4 linked regions of the Cricetulus griseus genome follow. The protein of the gene in region 1 interacts with the protein of each later gene in a pairwise test. Links are inferred from orthologs where the notes say so. Each region holds a gene or a part of one and is shown on either strand. Other genes may lie near its edges.

What was found.
Region 2: the proteins of Trim54 (region 1) and kelch-like protein 38 interact in binary tests that used the Homo sapiens proteins (3 or more experiments, as listed by UniProt). The two-hybrid records come from large-scale screens. The link is inferred for Cricetulus griseus from reciprocal best matches to the Homo sapiens genes TRIM54 and KLHL38.
Region 3: the proteins of Trim54 (region 1) and CUNH1orf109 interact in binary tests that used the Homo sapiens proteins (3 or more experiments, as listed by UniProt). The two-hybrid records come from large-scale screens. The link is inferred for Cricetulus griseus from reciprocal best matches to the Homo sapiens genes TRIM54 and AIRIM.
Region 4: the proteins of Trim54 (region 1) and Ngly1 interact in binary tests that used the Homo sapiens proteins (3 or more experiments, as listed by UniProt). The two-hybrid records come from large-scale screens. The link is inferred for Cricetulus griseus from reciprocal best matches to the Homo sapiens genes TRIM54 and NGLY1.

What each region holds. Positions count from the first base shown.
Region 1 is NC_048600.1:13,268,707-13,272,820, forward strand, and holds the start of Trim54 (tripartite motif-containing protein 54), read right to left. Parts: upstream 2,813-4,114; 5' UTR 2,396-2,812; coding exon 2,228-2,395; intron 1-2,227. UniProt on the Homo sapiens protein: May bind and stabilize microtubules during myotubes formation.
Region 2 is NC_048603.1:29,304,681-29,308,200, reverse strand, and holds part of kelch-like protein 38, read right to left. Parts: intron 1,461-3,520; coding exon 1,355-1,460; intron 349-1,354; coding exon 59-348; 3' UTR 1-58.
Region 3 is NC_048595.1:28,114,305-28,116,852, forward strand, and holds part of CUNH1orf109 (uncharacterized protein C1orf109 homolog), read right to left. Parts: intron 1,817-2,548; coding exon 1,637-1,816; intron 1-1,636. UniProt on the Homo sapiens protein: Part of the 55LCC heterohexameric ATPase complex which is chromatin-associated and promotes replisome proteostasis to maintain replication fork progression and genome stability.
Region 4 is NW_023276807.1:173,763,769-173,767,288, forward strand, and holds part of Ngly1 (peptide-N(4)-(N-acetyl-beta-glucosaminyl)asparagine amidase), read left to right. Parts: intron 1-1,383; coding exon 1,384-1,505; intron 1,506-2,933; coding exon 2,934-3,079; intron 3,080-3,520. UniProt on the Homo sapiens protein: Specifically deglycosylates the denatured form of N-linked glycoproteins in the cytoplasm and assists their proteasome-mediated degradation. Cleaves the beta-aspartyl-glucosamine (GlcNAc) of the glycan and the amide side chain of Asn, converting Asn to Asp.

The DNA.
Region 1 (4,114 bases):
AGGCTGGTGGTCCAAGAAAGCCTGCTATGCCAAGGAACCTAAAAGGCTATGTTCTCAGTGAAGTTAAGACCCACTTGTGTCAAGACTGGAGAGACAGCCTGGCCATTTGGAACACATGCTGCTCTTTCAGAGCATCAGAGTTTGGTTCCCAGCTGCCACATCACAAACACTGCAGCTCCAGCTCCAGGGGATCTGACACCCTTTTCTGGCTTCTGTGCGCACACACACACACACATACACACACACACTAATAAGAAATATTTTTTTAAAAATAGCTTGTGCTGGGGCTGGAGAGATGGCTCAGAGGTTAGGAGTACTGGCTGCTCTTCCAGAGGTCCTGAGTTCAATTCCCAGCAACCACATGGTGGCTCACAGCCATCTATAATGAAATCTGGTTCCCTCTTCTGGTGTGTGTATACATAATAAATCTTTAAAAAAATAGCTTGTGTTGGGGCTTGTGGTGTAGAGCAATGGTAGAATGCATGTTTAACACACACAATGCCCTGGATTAACCATAGCACCAAAGAGAGGAGGGAAAAAGGTGTGAAAATGTCTGCTCAACTCATTCCCTCATAGTCTGTGAAAAGCAGGAATAATCTTTTTGAGATTTATTTTATGTGTATGTATTTTGCCTGCATGCATAATGCCCATGAGGGGAGGGTTCAGAAGGGAGCATCAGGTCCCCTGGAACTGGAGTTAGACAGTTGTAAGCTATCATGTGGATGCTGGGAACGGAAACTGAGTTGTTTGGGAGAGCAACAAGAGTTCTTAACCACTGAGCCATCTCTCCAGCCCTACCACTTTTTTATTTAATTTTTGAGACTTGGTCTTACTATACATAGCCAGTGGATATACTGGTATAATTGTTCCATAGACCAGGCTAGCCTCTAGTTTGTGGTGGTTACATAGACCAAGCTACCTTCTATTTGTGGTGGTTATGTAGACCAGGCTAGCCACTAGTTTGTGGGGGTTACATAGACCAGACTAGTCTCTAGTTTGTGGTGGTTACATACACCAGGCTAGCCTCTAGTTTGTGGGAGTTATGTATAACAGGCTAGTCTCTAGTTGTGGTGGTCCTCTTAGGTGTTTCAACCACAGGCATGTGTCACACAGCCTGGCTCCTGGCTGGAATCTTATTCCTGATGCTTCTGTCACAGATTTGCACCAAGCCACCCGGATCTTGCAGTTTTTACTTCATCTGCAAGGTCTCATGTCTGTACACGTGAGTCCTGTCCCTTCGCTCTCCCTGACCTCTGATCTAGTTTACAGCCTACTGGAACCTCTATGAATGATACAGGGTAGGAAAGCAAGCCTATGAATTTATAAAGAATTATGATGTATGCATTTATTTAGTTGGTTAGACAGGGTCTCACATAGCCCAAGCTGGCCTTAAACTCATTCTCCGGCTGCCACCTCCCAAGGGCTGGGATTGCAGCCATGCATCACCATGCCCAGCTTTTTTGTTTTTATTTTTGAAATGTGTGGACAGAATGATATCAGTGACTTAACTTAGCTATGCCCGGCCTCATGACCACAGCTACACAGGCATTTCTGGGAAGTACAATTCTGCTTCTGCCTTCTCTCTGTCCATAAATCACCTGAGTATCAGTTGGTCCATGGGCCTCTTCACCAGGTCAGGAGGGCTCACAGGTGTGAAACTGGGGAAAACTTCTGCTTCCCTGGCCCACTGTGTCTAAGCAGCTCCCTCATGGAGAGAGGAGCTCTATCTCAAATATACACAGCTCGGCTGGCATCATAGGCTTTCTCACTGGTTTGTCACAAATTTTTAATTCTAGGGTTTAATTTTATGTTTTGGGGATCAAGTTCAGGTTGTCAGCTTTGGTAGCAAGTGTCTTCACTGTCTTGCTGGCTCTATTATTTTTTTAATACCTCATATTTCATTGATCTCATCTATGGTGTGTAAAGAAAGTAAATAAATAAAACCACAAAGCCTCAAAGTAAATGAAATCTAGTAAGGCTCCCACAAAGTCCAGGCAAGACCACCCTCCTTGCCAGTTTCTGCCAGTCTCCCTGGGGTCCTCCTTCTGACGCTGTGCACACAGGCTGTGCTTGCCAGGCTCTGGGCAACTGCTGACTCGTGCTTCCTCTGGGATCCCACAGCCTCCAACTCTCCTGCCACTGAGTTGGGGCAGCGTCACCATCTCCCGCCTGTGGGACCTGCCACCCAGTCCCTTCCTAGACCTGACCCAGCTGTCCCCAAGCCCACCTGGAAGACGTCATTGGCACACTTGCGGCACAGGTTGTGCTGGCAGGGCAGGATCACCACGGGCTTGGAGAACATCTCCAGGCAGATGGGGCAGATGAGCTGCTTCTCCAGGTTGTCCATGTTGTGTGCATCCCCTAGCAGCGGCTTGAAACCCACGGTGAAGTTCATCCCTTGGCGCTCTAGTGCCTGCCTTGGCCCTGTTTCTGGCCTTCTCTCGCTGCCTGTGCACACTTCTTGTAAACTTTAGGCTGTCTGTGGATTCTTAGGATCCCTGATCTTGCTCCCTCTTGAAAGGGTGATGTTTCCTGTTTCTCTCCCTCTAACGGCCCCTCTCACCCTGGCTATTTCCAGACGCTTCTGTCTGCACTCCCTGTTCAGAGCCGTCTCCACAAACTTGTCCCTTTAGCTCCCCCTGAGAAATTCTCTTGCTCCCCCAAACCACCCTCGTGCTCACTCTACAGGCAGTACTCTTTGTCCCTTGCTCGCTAGAGAGGTTAATATTACTGTGGGGGTAGGGAGACAAGGGGCATTTGTGTGACATTCCAGTTCCCAATTTAGCTCATGTAAGGCGAGCCACAGCTGTCCCGGACTGAGTGACCCTGACTCACTCAGCTGGTGGCTTTCTTGAGCAAGAAGAGCAGCAGGGGTGTCACTGCTTTCAGTGGGTGGTGGGTCAGTGTGGGGCTCACTTGTCACTGGGAAGGTTCCTGCAACCTCTGCTCTCCGTGTTCTGGCTTGAGACCTTCTTCCTAACAGAAACTAGCACATGGGAGAGACAGCACACATGGCTCAGGGTGGGAAGGATGGTCTGGACGGATCTACAGACTTCTGTCTCTCCCTTTTATACTGAGCATTGATCCTGACCCTCCTCCTGGAGACTCAGGATTCAGAAGTGGAACTCCAGACCCTACAAAAGAGAACTTCTTGTCCCATATGTCTGGTCCATATTTGTTCTTGTTCAGCCTTAAAAAAACAACTACATTTATTTACTTTAGGGAGGGGTAGGTATGACATGGAGCATATGTGGAGGTCACAGGTCACTGACAGGAGTCACTTCTTTTTCTTCAGTGTGGGGGTTACAGAAATCAAACTGAGGTCATCAGAATTGGTGACCAATGCCTTTACCTATTGAGCAATCTAGCCACAAACTTCCCTCTCCCTTATTAAAGACAGGCTCTCAGTAGATTAGGTTAACCTTGAATTCACTGTCATCAAGGATGACCTTGAACTCCTGATCCTCTTGACTCTACATCCAAAGTGCTAGGATTAGGGGAGAACACCATTATTCCCAGTTTACGAGGTTCTGGGCGTCAACTCGGGGTCTTTTGTGTACTAGAGAAGCACTGTGCTTACTGAACTACATCGCCCTTGGATGGCCAGTTATATCATCCTAGGAGAGCAGCTGAAGAGGCAAGAGATGGCTGCTGTGCCAGCCCAGGCCTGCCTTATGATCAGGGCATGAGAGTGTGTGATTCTGGTCTACCACTGAAGCCATTTCAGGGACGCTAAATTTGCTTAGAATCTGAGACAGTAGTGGACTGGAGATGTCTCAATGGTTAAGACAGTCTCATGAGGAGTGGAGTTCAGATCCCCAACACTCACAACCACCCTTTACCACAACTCCGAGTGACTCAGCGCCCTCTTCTGGCTTCCACAGGCATGCACAGACAGATGTGCAGACCCATTTACACAGACACACACATGCAGACACACACACACACACACACACACACACACACACACACACACACACACACATATAAAAAAGGAAAAGTGTGAGAACAGATGTGGCTGGAAACATTCCGAATGCTGCAGTTGTCTGGAACACCAGTGAACCAGTCTGCAGAGCAGTCTCAGGACACTGACAGAGGCACCACCACTGGGCAT
Region 2 (3,520 bases), on another chromosome or scaffold:
CTGGGCTGCAATCTCTTGCATCACACAGCATTTTGACCCAGATAGGTTCTTGTGGCCTTCACGTGAAGCCGGCCGTGTGACGGATGCACTGGAGAGTCAGGCAGGCGTGGTCAAAGAGTGTGTGCGGTAGCTGTCCCTGGGATGTCCAGGTGTCCGTCTCAGGGTCATAGCAGTCAAAGGAGGCGGAGTCCTCAATGTTGCAGTCCGTGGTCAGCCTCCGCCCACCTGTCACATACAGCTTGCTTCCCATCACTGCCGCCCCGTGGTGCATCCTCCGGTCCTTCATGTCTGCACACTTGACAAATTTGTTGGCCCGAGGGTCATAAGCAAGAATCCTCCTTGTGTAACCTGAAAATTGAATAACGCACGGACAGCTGTGGGTGGCTCACCTGGGGCTGTGGATCAGGGCTTGAAGAATGCTTCTGCTCCCCAATTCCCCACCCCCCTGGCCCCCAGACACCCGCCAGGCTGGGACTCTGACCAAAGCATGGATGCCCAGGTACCCTGCTGCAGCCTGGCTTGTGGCAGAGCTGAGGCTGGCATCTGGATCTCTCTGGCTCTGGCCCAAATTACGGCAGCCATGTAAGTCATTCGTAGCGTAGGGGGAAATTCTGCCTTCCAATAGCTTCTACAGCCCTGCTGCCATTATTATCTCTTCTGCGTGACCCCAGAGCCACAGCCATTCAAGGACGAGGACCTTCTTTGGGAACACAGAAATGGATTGCATGGCTGTCTGCTGGGCAGTTGTTTTGAGGGTTCCCATTTTCGTGACAGGCAAACCAAGACATAGAAAGATGACTAACTTGCAAAAAGTATATAACCACCTAATGGTAGAGTTGGGATTTGAACCCAGGTCTCTTTGACCCCTCTACTGGCCCTCTTAACCACAGAATAGTATGCATTTACAGAGAAGTGATGTGTTAGAAGCCATTGTTGTTGTTAGTATCAGCAGCAGCAGCAGCACCACTACTATTATTAGTAGTAGTATTTTGAGAGAGGGTCTTATACTTTGTATAGTCTGGTCTGGAACTCACTATGTAGCCCAGACTGGCAATCCTTCCATCTCAGCCTCCCAAGTGCTCAAATTACAGGTGTGAGCTACCACACCTAGCTAGTGTTGGCATCTCTTCTTCCTGTGTCTACAACAGTCCTGCTGGCTTTAGCCACATAATACATTTTATCAGGACAACAGCTCTGTAGAATATAGAGAGAGACAGGAAGAAGCTTCCAGGCGAACGGCTCTTTGGGTTTTCCGCACTTTCCTCCGGATGGATGTGATTTCCCAAGCCCGGCCTCTCAGCAGCCGTTTCCCCAGGAGCTGCTGAGTTTGTTCCCGACCGCTCTGTTCACTCACCTCCCACAATGACAATTCTCTCCCCCAGTACCACTGCGGGGGCGCACACGTTCTTGATCATCCTTGTCTCCATTTTGAACCATGTGTTTCTGGAAATGTGGTAAACCTGAGGGGGAAACAGAGTCATGACACCAAATTTTAAAGTTAACTTCTCTAAAAGAGAAAAAGAGGAGTTATCACATTTTTACTTGAGAGAGACACACACAGAGAGAGGAGTATGTTTGTGTGGTGTGTGTGTGTGTGTGTGTGGTGTGTGTGTGTGTGTGGTGTGTGTGTGTGTGTGTGTGTGTGTGTGTGTGTGTGGTGTGTATGATGTGTGTGTGTAGTATGTAAGTCATGTATGTATTGTGTGTGTTGTGTGTGTGTGTTAGTGTGTGTATGGTATGTGTATGAAAGTGTGTGTGTGTCTGTGTTTCTAAGTGTGGAGGTCAGAGGATTTTGGGTTTCTGTTCTTTTTTTCTACCATGTGAGTTCCAGGGCCTGAACTTAGATCACCAGTCTTGGTGACAAAAGCCTTTATCTGATGAGCCACCTTATTGGCCCAAGTAGTCAACCTCAGGGTGAATCAGAAAGGAATTTTTCTTTCCGTTTCTTTTCAGGTTTTAAAGTGTAGGTATTACTATCAATACATGAACTCTTGCTGGCAGAAAGATGAGTTAGTTTTGTGACCCCATGAAACCAGTGGCTGTGTTTCCATTACCTGGGCCAAGGGTTCCACACTGGGGTAGGCATCTCTCTTACCTTCTTGGGATGTTTTATTATTTTAATGAGAAATGGAGCATCTTGGATATTTAGGAAACCAATTATTTTTCAGTATTTTTATTTCTAGATAGTGTTTATATTTCTGAATGTTCCTGTGTAGCTAAGAGGGTCAGAGAACCAAGAATACATTTGAGGCTATGCAAGGAAGGCTCCTTAGGCTGAGAGGAACTAGAGTTTTTGTGAAAGAAGAGAAATAAGAGAAGAGACAAATCGAAATGCAGATCAAATTACGGTTCCCTCTTCTGTTGATTTCCTCAGTTTCAAACTCAAATATCAAACAAAAGTAATAGGCACAATTTAGCATCAGAGATAAAGGACAGACTCCACATAAGAAGAAACAAGCCAGACATTGGTGGCACACGCCTTTAATCCCAACACTTGGGAAGCAGAGGCAGGCGGATCTCTGTGGGTTCGAGGCCAGCCCTGGTCTACAAAGCTACACAGAGAAACCCTTCTGGAAAAACCAAACATGGAAAAAAAAAGAATAAACAAACATCTGTTTACTGAGGAAAATGGCACAGTAGTTGTCACTGATACTTTTTCCCATACAAAATATAATTTCTAGCTTCATCAATGACCTCATCCTTTAGGGCAGGCAGTGGAGTGCTCACCTGGCCATGTATGAAGCCTGCACTGACCCCCAGGACCACTGGCATGTATGAAGGCCTGTATTGACCCCAGAACCACATACACTGGGTGTGGCTGGTGCCACCTGTGACCCTAGCAACCAAGAAGTGGAAGCAGATCAGAAGGTCAAGGTCAGCCTGGGCTACATGAGACTTTGCTTCTAAAATCATAAATAGGGACTGGAGAGGTGGCTCAGTGGTTAAGAGAACTGGCTACACTCTGCAAGGTTCTGGGTTCAATTCCCAGCAGCTCACACGGTGCCTCACAACTGTCCTTAACTCCAGTTCCAGAGAATCGGATGCTCTTGTCTTACTTCTAGGGCCACAGCATTCACGTGATGCTCTGGTGTGTGTGTGTGTGTGTGTGTGCAGGCAGAACACCCATAGGCATAAAAAATAACTACATTTTTAATGTAAATAGGTAGCAAGAAGAAGTTGACTTTCACAATGTTATCAGGGTAGCCACTGTTTCTTCCTCGTTTTTTTAGATTAGACTCTTGAGGCCTACAGACAGTGACTTGCACAGACAGACTGAATGGACATGGTAGTTTCTGGTTCAATCCAGGGGCCATGCTCTCGGTCACCAGTGCCATGGATCTGTTGACGGAGTGTGGTATTATCTGCTAGTTTACAATTTATTGCTATGTTTGTTGTGCGTATGTTTGTGCATATGTGTGCACACTTGTGCCACGGTGTGTGTGGAGGTCAGAGATCAACTTTGTGAAGTCTACTCTCCCTTCCACTTTCACTGGGTTCTGGGAACCAAACTCAGTTCAGA
Region 3 (2,548 bases), on another chromosome or scaffold:
AGCACCCACATGGCAGCTAACAGCTATCTGTAACTTCAAGATCTGAGACATACATGGTTATTAAGACATACATGCCGGCAAAATACACAGACATACATGCAGGCAAAACACCAATGCACATAAAATAAAAGTAAATACATTATTAAAAAAATAACAAAACAAAACAACTCAGTGGCAGTTCTAGTCAGCTGTAGAGGCCCACGCCTTTAATCCCAGCACTATTTAGAGAAATCAAAATGGTAACAAACACAAAAACAAAAGTCTGGCAGTTCAGATGAACACACCACTGGAAGAAACAGAGAAACAAAGGCACAGGGCAGAGGAAGCATGGAGTGGACTGGCACTGCAAGCCTCCCAGTGTCCTGACACGGTTGGCTAAAGTAGAAAGTAGTTGAAAGGTGGCTTCAGCCAGTATAAAGGCAGCAGTGGAGGACAAGGTAGGGATTCTGAGCCCTACCCCACCAGCAACAGAAGAGCTGACAACTCCTGGTTGAACACAACTAGACCTAGACCTCATGAAGATGACTGTGGTACATAACCACAGACAGCTCAGAGAGAGAATCTGGAGATAGAGGAAAGTCAGGAGGGGATACAGGATTAAGCATCCATGCCAGGGGCTGCCAAGATGGTTCACTGGGTGAAGGTGCTTGCTGCCAAATCCAATGAACTAAATGGGAGCCATATGGTGGAAGGAGAGAACCCATTCTGTTAAGTTATCCTCTGACCTCCTCATGAATGCTAAGCATAAGCCTTGGCCACACTATTCTGCTTAAAATCTTCTGAGAACATTCATCTCAAAAGAACAGCCAAAACCCAGCTGGGCGTTGGTGGCGCAAGCCTTTAATCCCAGCATTTGGGAGGCAGAGGCAGGTGGATCTCTGAGTTCGAGGCCAGCCTGGTCTCCAGAACGAGTGCCAGGATAGGCTCAAAAGCTACACAGAAACCCTGTCTCGAAAAACCAAAACAAACAAAACAAACAAACAAACAAAAAATCCTTCTCAAAAAACCAAGGTCCCATGTCACTATCCTCATGCCCTGCCCTCATTACACAGACCTCATGGCTATGTCCAAAATATACCAGGCATGCTCCCGCACAGGCCTTTTCACTCCATGTACCTTCTGCCTGGACCATTCTTCTCCCAAATATCCACATGGCTCATTCCTTCACTCTTTCAAAACTTTGCTCAAATGTCATACCCATCGCTGCCTCATGGGTGCCTGTTTGACACTATTAAAATCACAACCCCAAGCTGGGTGGTGGTGGTATACACCTTTAACCCTGACACTCTGGAGACAGAGGCCAGGACAGCCAGGACTACACAGAGAAACCCTGTCTCGAGAAAAAAAAACCCACAGCCCACCCTTCCTACCTTGTCTCCCTGCTTTGTTCTTAGCACTCACCACATCTGACAGCACACATTCCCCTTCTCATGCCTGCCTCTCAGCACTCACAGCAGTGCCTAGCAGCTAAACTGTAAGGAGTGACTATTAAAATACACAAACAAATGCAGGAAGAACCCAAGTTTGAGCTCTAAAGAGAACTGCAGCAAACTGTACAGCCTGCTGATCTTGTGAGATGTGAACCAGCAAAGGCTGCTGGAGCAGCTCTGAGCAGTCTGGATGCACTCAAGGATATGAGCTTCGATAATGTCTGTCGATGTCTTGCAGCCACTCCAACATGTCAGCCACAGAGGGGCTCACAACTGAGGGCTGCAGGACAGCATCCATGTCAAGTGCAGCCGAATGCTGCTCGTAGGTCTGAAACACCCGCTCCACATGGCTGCTGATGGTGTCTCGAACCTTGAGGAGGGTGGCTCTGTGGGAAAAGTGGAATTTTGGACAGTATCTCAAAAAAAGGGAGGAGGTAAGGCTCCTTTCACCACTACTGACATTTGGAGGTTTTGTTTCAGAGGGCATTCAAACCCTCAGACACTCCTGGGAAGCGGTCTACCACTGAGCTACACCCCAGTCCCACTTTGCAAATTCTTTTTAATTACATATGGTGGGAAGGGGCACACATGCCACAGCACTTGTGTGTGAAGGTCAGGGGGCTACTTTGTGGTGTCCATTCTGTCCTTCCATCTTTCTGTGGGTTCTGGAGATTGAACCATCTGGGGACTGAGCCATCTTGACTACCCTTTTTTAATCCAGTTCTTGAATGACAGCGTAGATGGGGTGCAGACTGCTGGGGAAAGTGAGTTAATCCTTATATAAAGGCTCCTTTGCTCACTGTGTCTCCCAAGAACAGGAGCACACACACAGCACACACAGTCAGTGTAGCAGTGAATGAGAAAGAGAAATAATGATGATGTGTAGAAAGTGCTTTTGTACCCGTGATGGTGGTGGCGGCGCACGCCTTTAACCCCAGCACTCAGGAGGCAGAAGCAGGTGCATCTCTGTGAGTTTGAGGCCACCCTGGTCTACAGAGCGAATTCCAGGACAGCCACGGATACACAGAGAAACCCTGTCTTGGGGTTAAAAAAAAAAAAGAAGAAGAAGAAGGAAAAGTGATTTTGGTAGTGCCTAGGTATTCTTCTTCTTTTTCTTT
Region 4 (3,520 bases), on another chromosome or scaffold:
ATGTGCTCAACAAACTTGTCATTGCAGAGCCAGTTCATTCATGGCACTACTTCCTTCTCTTCCCAGGCCTGGGACTGACTTTTCTGTTCAGCTGGAGCACTGAACACACCAGCAGAGCCTTTCTCATTGCAGAATGAAAATCTCAGTGCCCTCCATTCTTAGGATAATTTTATGATTGGAATAACTTTCAGAAGAATGCTACAGTCATCTTGTTTGTAAATTAGCAGGCATCTTTAAATGTGTCCAAAGAATTAATCAAAATCATTAGTAAAAAGAAAACTGGAATTTATACTACATTAAAATCTTTGTGTGTGGGTGAGGAGTCCTGGTGTGTATATGTACAGGTGTGTTCACAGGTACACAGTGAAAGCCACAGGAGAATATCAGAAGCTGATTGAATCATCTGCCTTATTTCCTTAAAACAGAGTCTCTCACCAAAACTGGAACTAGGCTGGTGTCCAGCAAGCCTCAGAAATCCTCCTGTCTCCATCACCCCCAGCTCTGGGGTTACAACTATGCTTGGTCACACCCAGCTTTTTACATGAGTGCTGATCCAAACTTAGGTCCTTATGCTTATGCAGCAAGTGTTCTTAACCACTGAGCCATTCCTCCAAACCCTAATCCCCCCAGCCCTTCTTTTGGTTTTGGTTTTGGTTTTGGAAACAAGGTATCAAGTGGCACAGGCTGACCTTGAACTCCACCTATAGCCAAGAATGACTTTGGATTTCTAATCCTCCTCCTCCTAAATGCTGGGATTGCAGTTGTACAACACCATGCCATCTTTATTTGGTGCTGGGGATTAAACCAGGGGCTTATAGCTAGGCAAGTACCCTACAAACTGAGCTAAATCCCTGACCCTGCCCTTGCCCCTGCCCCTGCCCCTGCCCCTGCCCCAAGCTAAAATCCTTTGAGTAGTTTTTTAAAACTTGCTTGCAAGATAACTGTTGAATGTCTTAATTACATTTCTTAGAAAACTTTCCCACCTAAATCTTATTTGTCAAAACCATGAAGATGAAAACTTCCCTCTCCAACCATTCACCTGTGTCTTAGTTGTTACATGGCTTGTATTACTGATCCTGAGCATGATGGTGTCCTTGAAGAGGTAGTATCCATTTTTAATTAAGACTAAAATTGACTGCATATAGTGAAATTGTGTTCATCCTTGCCCAGAACTATACTCACTGAAGACACTTCCACTGTTTAAGCATAGTTCACAAAGACAAGCACAGTGCCTTACATAGGCTGGGTGCTTTAACCAATATTTTAAAACAAGAAACTAAGACTCATGATTGATACTTAGCATACAAGTGATAGAAATTCTTTAACAATTGGATTTTAATCATGAATCACAGCTGTTGTCTTTGTTGTTGTTTTTTAAACCAGATATAACAACCCTGAGAAACTTTTGGAAACAAGATGTGGACGCTGTGGCGAGTGGGCCAATTGTTTTACGCTGTGTTGCCGTGCATTAGGGTTTGAAGCTCGATATGTGTGGGATTACACAGGTACAGCATGTGGTAGGAGAGAGGAAGAGGTGAGGTAGGAAAGGGGCTCTATAGATTTGGAATTCAGATTTGTGCCCTAAGCCCCTAATTTTCTCTTTCTTATATCAGCCTAAGTTTTTTATTCACCTCCTGTCTTAGTTGGGGTTTCTATTGCTGTGAAATGACCGCAGCAACTCTTTATAAAGGAAAACACCAATTGGGGCTGGCTTACAGTCTCATAGGTTTAGTCCTTTATAATCATGGCAAGCAGCATGGTGGCTTGCAGGCAGGCAGACATGGTGTTGAAGAAGGGACTGAGAGTTCTACATCTTGATCCATAGGCAGCAAAAGGAGACTGTGAGTCATACTGGGTGTAGCTTGAGCATATAAGACCTCAAAGCCTGCCTCCACAGTGACACACTTCCCCCAACAAGGCTGTATCCACTCCAATAAGGCCACACCTCCTAATGGTGCTACTCCCTATGGGCCAAGCATTCAAACACATGAGTCTATGGGAGCCATTCCTATTCAAACTACCATACCTGTGTAAAATAAGAGCAGTACCAACCTCACAGGCATTCTCAAGGCTCCATAAGATTTTTGAAACAGACCTAACTCTATTCCTGGGAGCTAGACTGTATCCTTCTAATCTTTTAGCATGACATTAATGGTAGCCCTGTTCTGGGTGGATGGGAATATGTGTAATAATGTGCTGTGGAGATCATTTTTAAAGGGATTGCTGTAATTGACACGGCCTATATTGCAGTCTACACAAACACTCTGAGGAAAGCCTTGGTATTTGACTTGGTCTTCATTTAGAAATGACTGTTGTGTCTGGTTGCTGTCTCTGTTTCAAGGTTTTCCTTGTTTACACTATTATTTTAGAATCAGATGAAAATGTCAGCTAATAGTCTTCTCTCTGTCAAAATCAAATGTAGAGCCTCAAGCAGGGTATGGTGGCATATGCCTGTAATCCCAGCATTCAACACAGGCTGTGGCAGGAGGATTGAAGCCAGCCTAGGTATTCATTTACCTATTGATGAGACTCCATTTCAAAACCAAATATAGACCATAAACAACCGGATATCCTGTTAGGCCTCGTGGGTCCAGAGAGTGATTGTAGTTTCAAAATTCAGTCATTCCTTCACAGCCTGGTGGTTGTGATGCTTTGCTAAAACTTTGCCTGCTTTAGAGTTTGCCTGCTTTAGAGTTATAACACACATTATTTTTAATTAAGACTTACACGAGTACATTTTAAAAAATTTAAATACAAATAATCTACAATTATGTGTGCCACAAAATGCTTTTGCTAACTAACTAAAATTTAAACATTATAAATTAGATTATTATGTGATTCGTAGAACATTATATATAGTTAATTGGAAGTTATTCTTGTTTTACAAACTTAACTTCTATTTCCCATTTCTTTTTCTTACCCCATGTGAGTAGACCATGTTTGGACAGAAGTCTATTCTTCTTCTCAGCAGCGGTGGCTGCACTGTGATGCATGTGAAGACGTCTGTGACAAACCTCTCCTTTATGAAATAGGATGGGGCAAAAAGCTTTCCTATATCATAGCATTCTCTAAAGATGAGGTAGGACATAAGAGAAAGAATTACAAGAATAAAACTATTTTAAAGTGTATTTGACATTCAGGTCATATACATTTGCCCTGTGCTGTTTAATATATGTCATTTTTATATTCCAAAAACTCACTGTAATCAGTGTTTTCTGCTGTGGGTGTACCAAGGAATGTTCGTATCTATGTACCTACAGGTGGACATTAAATGGGTTCAGTTTTTAATATTTTAAATTAAGCTGCTACAAACATTCTGGTATATACTTGCTTTTTCTTTCTGTTTACTACCTAGGAGTAGAATGGCTGGATCATTGTCCAGTTATTTTGCAAAGGAATGGCACCATTTTATTTTCTTACCAGCAGTACATGAGACTTCCCAGTTTCTCCACATCTTTGCCAAAGTTTAATGTGGCTTTACTTTTAAATTTAGCCCTGACGAAGAGAGAATAGTTGTACT